2 linked regions of the Lonchura striata genome follow. The protein of the gene in region 1 binds, or shares a complex with, the protein of each later gene. Links are inferred from orthologs where the notes say so. Each region holds a gene or a part of one and is shown on either strand. Other genes may lie near its edges.

Region 1 (3,901 bases):
TCTTCATCCTCATCCTCGTGCTTCATCCCCACCCTCCCGCTTCATCCTCATCTTCATCTGCCTGCTTCAGCTCCATCCTCATCCTCCTGCTTCATCCCCATCCCCCCGGCCCATTCCACCTCCTCACCCCACACAAATCCCCGGGGCCAGCCCAAGCTCTGCCTCTCACGGAGCAAAGTAAAAATGAAAGCTTGGAGTAATCCCACAAGTCTGAGAGAAATGAAACCTTGGAAAATCCACACTTCCTCTTCCACAGGAGAAATGAAACCCTGCAAAATCCACACTTCCTCTCCCACAGGAGAAATGAAACCCTGCAAAATCCACACTTCCTCTCCCACAGGAGAAATGAAACCCTGGAAAATCCACATTTCCTTTTCCACAGGAGAGGAGAAATGAAACCTTGGAAAATCCACATTTCCTCTTCCACAAGAGAGGAGAAACTTTGGAAAATCCAGGTTTCTTCTCCCACAAGAGAAATGAAACCTTGGAAAATCCACATTTCCTCTTCCACAGGAAAGGAGAAATGAAACCTTGGAAAATCCACATTTCCTCTTCCACAAGAGAGGAGAAACTTTGGAAAATCCAGATTTCTTCTCCCACAAGAGAAATGAAACCTTGGAAAATCCACATTTCCCCAGCTCTTCCCAACACCAGCAGATCAGGACCACGAGCAGCTCCTGCTCATCACCCCAAAATCCCTCAGAGCTCAGCCCTGCAGCTCCAGGCACAGCTTGGGGTGGTACTGAGCCCCCCAAAAACACCAACCCAGAGGATTCTCCCCTCCAAACGGAGAGGTCCAGCATCAACCCCGAGGGATCCTCACCCTCCTTCCACCAGCACCACAAACACAGAACCTCCGTGGCTTCTTCCCCAGCAGGCCCGGGGAGCAGAGGAGGAGCTGGGGGGTGACCGGTGCCGGTTTTTGGGGTGCCAACGGGGCTGTGACAAGGACAGCACCGGGACACCGGGACTCGGCACCCCCCAGTGCTCCCCATCCCTGCGGGGAGCAGCCAGAGCTGCAGCCCCAGAGCTTGACTAAGCAAAATCCCTTCTGAAGCAGCAGCAGCCCCAAGCCCCCGCTCCGGCCCCGCCATCGCACCCGGGGATTTTGGGGCTTTTTGTTCCCCCTTCCGTTGCTTTTTTCTGACTTCTTTTCCTGCTCGGGTTTAAGGTCAGCGCGGGTACAACTCCCCCTGCCCAGCCGAGCCTCCCTCCCCCACCACACATCCCTGAGCCCCTCCCCGGCTCCCGGAGCTGCGATCCCGCCCGGGCCCGGCTCTCCGGGGGATGCGGGGCTCCCGGTGCACCGGGCAGCAGGACCGCACAGGGCTCCCGAGGACACCGAGACTGGGCAGCAGGGCTGGGCGGGGGTCCCACAGGCAGCAGCACCGGCCAGCAGCACCGGCCAGCGGGGCTGGGCAGGGATCCCGCGGACAGCACAGCGGGGAGAGCGCCCCGGAGGAGCGGGCGCTACAACCGGCCGGGCGTCCCGCGGACGCCGGCACCGGGAGGTCGGGCTGGGCGGGGGTGCGGCGGGCACCAGGACGGTCCGGGGGTGCCGCGGGTGCTGGAGGCGGCCGCTGGGGCCGTCCGGGGGTCCCTGCGGGCGGCCGGGCTTTAGGACCGGGCGGCGCCCGGGGCCGCGATGGCCGCGGCGGCCGCACATGGCCCGCGGCCGCTCCCGCACCGGCCCCGCCCCCCGGCCCGGCGCCGCGCGCTGATTGGCCGCCGGGCCCGCAAGCCGCGCCGTGATTGGCCCGCGCGGCCGCCGGGCGCGGGCAGGGGCGGCAGCGGCCATGGCGGCCGGGCCGGGCCGGGCCGAGCCGGGCGGGGCCGCGGAGCGCTCGGGGCAGCGCCGGCCCCGCCGCCGCCGCCGGCTCCGCCGCCGCCGGGACCGCCCCGAGCGCTCACCAGGTTCTCGATGGCCGCCTGCTCCAGGAACTTCTGCGCCGCCTCGAGCTCCGAGCAGTCTGCGGAGGGGGGAAACCGGCGTCACCCGCGGCCCAACCGCCCGCGCCCTCAGGGCTCCCGGCGCGCTCCTCACCGTGCCCGGGAGCCTCCCCGCCGCTCCGGTTCCCGCCCGCCTCACGGCTTCCCCCGCCGCCCACGCCCTCCCCGCGGCTGCGGGCGCCGCCTCGGCCGCCCCGCGGCTTGCGCGGCCCCCGCCCCGCCCGGCCCCGCCGCCCTCAGCGCTCAGCCCGCGCCTCACCCGGCGAGACCGTCTTCTCCAGGATGGTGATGAGCTCCATGGCGGCGGCGTGGCGGCTCCGGCGCCGGCGGGAGGAGGAGGAGGAGGAGGAGGAGGAGGAGGGGAAGGGGGGGGGGGAAGCGGGGCGGGCCGGAGGAGGGGAGGGAGGGAGGGAGGGAGGGGAAGGGCGGAAAGCCGGGGCCTGCCCCGCGGAGGCCGGAGCGGGGCAGCAGCAGCAGCGGTTCCCGGTGCGGCTGCGGGGCGTTTGGACGGGAGAGATTCTTTTCGATTTAAACAAAAAAAAAAAAAAAATTAAAAGAGGGTGGAGAAGAAGGAAGGAAAAAAAAAAAAAGAAAAAAAAGGGAAAAAGAAAAAAAAAAAAAAAAGAAGGGGCCGCGCGCGAGCGGGGAGGCGGCGGCGCGCGCGCGCACCGGGCGGCGGAGGGATACGCCGGGAGGGGCCCCGCGCGCGCGCGCGCCCGCCCCGCGCCCGCCGCGCTGATTGGCCGGCGGGGCCCCCCCGGCCCGGCGCGCGCGCTTTCCTATTGGCCGGGCCGGCGGCGCGAGGCCATTGGAGGGGGGGGGGGGGGTGAGCGGGAGGGGGGGCGGCAAAAGGGAGGGAGCGGGGGAGGAAAGAAGGGGCGGGGCTTCCGGCGGCGCGCGCGGGGATTGGGCGGGGCCCGGACGGGACCATTGCCGCGGGGTGGGGGGGGCGGGGGGGCGCGACCACGTTGGGCCGCGCGTGGGGGGCGGCACCGGGAGCACCGGGAGCACCGGGACGGGGAGCGGGGTCACCGGCACTGCCGCCGGTTCCCGGCAATGCCCGGGGCAGGGCGGCAGCGGCACCGGAACCGGCTGGGGAGGAGCCACGTGCTCGGCGCGCGGCGGGAAGCGGAACCGGCGCCGGTTTCCCGGGACCGGGGGTGTGACCCGGTGTGTCCCGGTGTGTGCAGTCCGGCAGTGCAGAATCGCTGCGTGACGGGCATCCCGCACGAAGCGGGGTGTCCCGTGGTCGGTACCGGTGGCCGGGCGGGGCACCGGGCCGGTCAGCACCGGGGCGGGGATGGGAGCGCTCCCCGGTGCGACGGCCCCGGCAGAACCCGCCCCGCACCGGCTCCGGTGTCCGCCGAGTCCCTCGGTTCGGGCACCGCGCTCCTTGCGCATCGCGGTGTGTCCCCAAAGCGGGGTGACAACCGAGGGATGCGGGAACGGGACGGGCGGAGAGCGGCGGGACAATTAACGGGGCCGGGAGGGCGAGCGGTAATTAGTGACGCTCGCCGGAGGCGCGGGGACAAGCGGCAATTACCGGGACACCGCCCCGGGCTCGGCCCGTTCGGCATCGCCCGCTGCCGAAGGGTTCCGGGATCCCGGCCGAGGGATGCAGCAACGGGAGCCGCGGGAATTGCGGGAGGAGCGCGGCCGGGACCGGGCAGGGCTGGAGAGGGACGGGGAGGAATTCCCGCTGGGAAAGGAGCGGCGGGCACCGGGACAGCTCCGCAGGGAATGGGGGTGATCCCAAAACTGCCGCAGCTCCAGGGGTTTCGGGGTGGATTGGTTGGGGTGGATTTTGGGCGCTGGAACAGCTCCCCTTGGAATTATGGTGATCCCAAAACTCTCAGAGCTCTGGGATTTTTGGGATGGATTCGTTGGGTTGGAATTTGGATGCTGGAACAGCTCCCCATGGAATGGTTGTGATCCCAAAACTCTCAGAGCT
Region 2 (3,901 bases), on another chromosome or scaffold:
GATAGCTGCTCTTATTTAGCTGTTATTATCCTTGACTGTTCATGTTGGGTCTGATCCTAAATTCAGGAAAATAACTGAGGAGGATTCAGTGAGCTCTCTGTATTTTGCAAAACTGAGTGCCCTTGCCACTGACTCCAAAGGGAGGGAAATCTGCTCAACCTATCTCAGGCTTCAGAAAAATATTTTGAACAGATCTAGGGACATGATTCTGTGATATCTGGAAATAATGATAAAAATATGTAATTTCATTTTGAGGCATTACTGATTTCTCAGAAGTTCTTTAGCAGCTATAGCACTCCTATAACAAATAACATGTCTGGAAACATTTTCTTGGGAAAATTTGCTATTGCTTTCCATGAGATATTTGCCTCAGCGAAGTCTGTAGAACCAGGCCTATGTAATTTTGATTATTTGTGCATGTCTATAATAATGCGCTTCACTATTTTCATCCATTACTGTCTTAAGTTTTTGACTGAGAAAAAAAATAATCTCAATGCCTAAATGAGTTATTAGCTATTAACTCTAGGAATAGCTTGTGGTAATATTAAAACAGGACACGTGTTTGAGTGTGGTGTCTGTGTTTGTGCTATGCCCACAAACAAAACTACATGAATGCCACTAACTGACAGCTGACTGGTTTCCTGTGTGTGTTTTACATGCCAGAGCAAAGAGGGAGCTGAGAAATGTGTTTTTCTGGTTAGCTTACACTTTTCTTCCCTCTGTCAGGACAGAATGGGGAAGCTGGGAAGACCTCTAATCCTGACCTTTAAAACAAGTGTTAGAACTACGCTAACTTCAAAAAGAGAGTATTTCTCTGCAAATCTGATTTTTTTTTAACAACAAAATTTGGCTTAGATCCAGTTTAGAGTTTCCTAGCCAAGAAAATAGCAGCATCTAATTGCACTTCAACTATTTTCTTTTTTTTTATTTATTGTTGAAACTGAAATGTGATTCCTCTGTATAACATGGTCCCAAAAGAAAGAAATAGCCCAAGAACAGCTTTCAGGAGTACAAAACACTTAAACGTTAATGGACTGAGAATAATACTGTAAAATTATCAGCAATAACATGTTCTACACAATTTGCTGTAGGAGATTTGTAATAGTTCTCTGCCTCGTGCCAAACTTTAGGTGTGTCTGTAGTTGCTTCACCTGGGGCTTTTTTTTTTTTAATTTTGGATGTTTTGGGGTATTATTATTATTATTATTATTATTATTATATAAATTTTTATTTTTTAATTTTAATTTTAATTTTAATTTTAATTCTTATTTTAAATTTATTTTTATTTTTTTTTATTTTTATTTTCATTTTCATTTTTATTTTTATGTGTGTGGCCTAACTGGCAGAGGAAATGCTATTTGGAGGTCTTGTCCTTATGTATGTAGTAAAACACTTACAAGGAAACCCATCTGAAATTGTTTGCTGTGTCATGTTTCCCTGTAAGTTATGATCGAATTTTCCAGCACTCTTGCTCCAGCTTCTCTTCCTTCAGAGCTGAATAACAATACAGCCCTCCCCAGTGTGACTGAGGTGTTTCTTCCTGAGAAAATCTGATGCAAGTCCAGAGAAAGCCAGTGAGTTGGAAGTGTGAGACAGCTGCTCCTGCATCAGCAGAGGCTTCTGCACTTTGTGAATGGGTGTTACTATAAGCCAGGCTGATTATTTGGGAAGAAGCAAAAAGATCATTTCCTGAACAGACTGTCTTAAGATACACTATCATTTATCAAAAATATACCTCTGCCTATAAGTAAGATACTAGACTCCCTTGGGATTTTTTCCCCTGAAGTGGCAGAAATCCAAAGAAATTGTTCAGTACTTCAGTGTCATGATGGCTCTCACTTCTGCGTGTTTCCTCTACTTCTATCAACATTGGCTTCATGCCAGAGCCGAGAAATGTCTGTAAGTTATTGTAACACACAGCGTTTGGATAAACCGGGATGCTCCCTGCGAGGGTCCCGGGCAACTGCACAACAATCACCCAGGCGTGTCGGAAGAGAAGCCCCTCAGTTTTCACATCGCCTCCCCAGAACTTTGCAAGGTCAGAAAGCTGTAAAGCGCTCTGTCTCTGCCTCTCCTGGCTCTCAGGCAGCGCCAGTGAGCACCTGGGGCAGGTAACCCGGGCCGGCCCCGCCGGAGCCGGCAGCGCTGCGGAGCCTCCCGGGCTGCCTTCCTCCCTCCCTGCCGCCGCAGCGAGGACGAATAAAGGGAAAGAAGAAAAGAAAAGAAAAAGAGAAACTCACAGTCTGCGGCTGATCCCCTCTACTGATCTCCCGTAGGAGGGCACGGAATAACTCAGCAGGAACACTGCAAAACTCCACTGCTGGAAGAGTTTAGCGAACATTGTACCCTCCGGGACTTAAAACCTGCAAGGAAAAAGAGGTCAGTCCGGAGGGACAGATGCGCCAGCGCCGTCCTCAAGGAGTCCCCCTTCAGCTCTACCAGCTCCGAGGCTCTGAAGGAAAAACAAACTTTCTGAACTCTCGGCTCACTCCTTCCAAACTTCTCTCCGTCTCTCTCCCTTCCTTGCTTGTCTGCCTCTCCCTCCCTCTTTCCCTCCCTCCCTCCCTCTCTCTGTCTCTCGCCGTCCGCAGGCAAGATCTCTCTCAGTATTAGCTCAAAAAGCATCTAGCTCTCATTTCAACAGCGTTGGAGCGGGGCTCAGTGAGTTCCCCGAGCCCTGTTTAGTTCTAGTCCGCTAAGCCACTCTCTCAGGGCTTTATATTACATCAGAAAGTCTTCTTTGCAGATAAGGAAAGATTCCCTAAAGTCAGCTTAGCTGATCGCTTCTCTGTAAACTCGCGCGGACACACAAACACACATAGACTGAGGCGGAGGGGGAATGCATCTCCACATCTGTCTTTCAGTATACCTCTACAAAAAAAAAAGGGTCAGGTTCACGTCCCCAGCTGGCAGAAAGTTTTGGTCTCCAACAGTGATAAGGCGATAGACAAGCGGTGACGAGAGAAACAAGCAAAGGTCGCTGCCTATCTGGAGAGCCCGAGATGCCTGGGAGGAGCGGTAGATCGGGAGGCTCAGGGGCTGGGAAGCATGCTTGGCTCGGCAGGTTGGACTGGGCTGCAGCCTGGGATGTTCACACGCTCCAGAGCAGCCTCTGGGAGACCTGCGGGAGGACGGAGGGTTTTGCAAAGAGATGGCGCCCTAGGAACATGTGCGGAGAGAGCGAGAGCCAGGGCAGGATACCCACAGCCAAAACGGAGACTGCGAATCAGCGCTTCCCAGGCCCGCAATCAAAAAGGAGAGAAGAAAGGGAAAGACCCGACAGCACATGCATTCAGCAGACCCCAAGGATTCCGACCAAGCTCTCCGCATGTTCTGCAGCCGCACTCCTCTCTCGCTCACCTTCCAGCTCTCCCTTTTTGTGTTTACCCCCGGGTCAGCGCCTCCCCTGCCGCGGGGATTCCTCCATCGCTGGGAGCACTTTTCAGTCAAGTCCCAAAGCGCTGCCCGGGACTGCTGCCGCCTTTCCCTGCACGCACCTACCGTAGTTGGTCGCCGTTCCCCTATTAGCCGGAGGGTCGGTTCCTAATGATGCTAATTGTACGCTAGTGAAGGGAGGGGGGGAGCTCAGGGGGAGGGCCGGGGGAAGGACTCGCGGTCTATGAACACAAGCGCTCTTGGCCAAAAAAGTAAACTAGTGGAAAGTTTTCTCCTCCTCTCCCTTTTTCGCCTTCCACTTCGCCCTCCTTCAGCCTGGCCAGGGCCCTGCAAACCGCTGCGTCAGGTTGAGCTCCCGTGCGAGGCGGGCAGCGCGGCGGGGCTGCCGGGACAGCGGTGCCTGGAACGGCGGGAGGCGGCCGGCCAGCCCCGGCCAGCCCCGGCCAGCCCCGGCCAGTCCCGAACCCCAGTGGGCACCGCCGGCCGGCCACCCTGCGACGGAGGC

The links.
Region 2: the proteins of KPNB1 (region 1) and PTHLH are in contact, whole or in part, in a crystal structure (PDB 1M5N), measured with the Homo sapiens proteins. The link is inferred for Lonchura striata from reciprocal best matches to the Homo sapiens genes KPNB1 and PTHLH. Residues at the interface, in NP_002256.2 of Homo sapiens: Val55, Tyr104, Pro106, Gln111, Glu152, Tyr156, Gln159, Asn196, Leu199, Asn200, Gln239, Glu274, Gln278, Glu281, Asp288, Ile295, Ser298, Glu299, Asp339, Asp340, Trp342, Val350, Met353, Glu395, Trp430, Arg434, Glu437, Asn469, Trp472; in NP_945316.1 of Homo sapiens: Tyr103, Thr105, Gln106, Glu107, Thr108, Asn109, Lys110, Val111, Glu112, Thr113, Tyr114, Lys120, Thr121, Pro122, Gly123, Lys124, Lys125, Lys126, Lys127, Lys129.

What each region holds. Positions count from the first base shown.
Region 1 is NC_134627.1:8,499,350-8,503,250, forward strand, and holds the start of KPNB1 (importin subunit beta-1), read right to left. Parts: upstream 2,505-3,901; 5' UTR 2,250-2,504; coding exon 2,210-2,249; intron 1,971-2,209; coding exon 1,912-1,970; intron 1-1,911.
Region 2 is NC_134607.1:11,158,994-11,162,894, forward strand, and holds the start of PTHLH (parathyroid hormone-related protein), read right to left. Parts: upstream 2,359-3,901; 5' UTR 2,342-2,358; coding exon 2,241-2,341; intron 1-2,240. UniProt on the Homo sapiens protein: Neuroendocrine peptide which is a critical regulator of cellular and organ growth, development, migration, differentiation and survival and of epithelial calcium ion transport.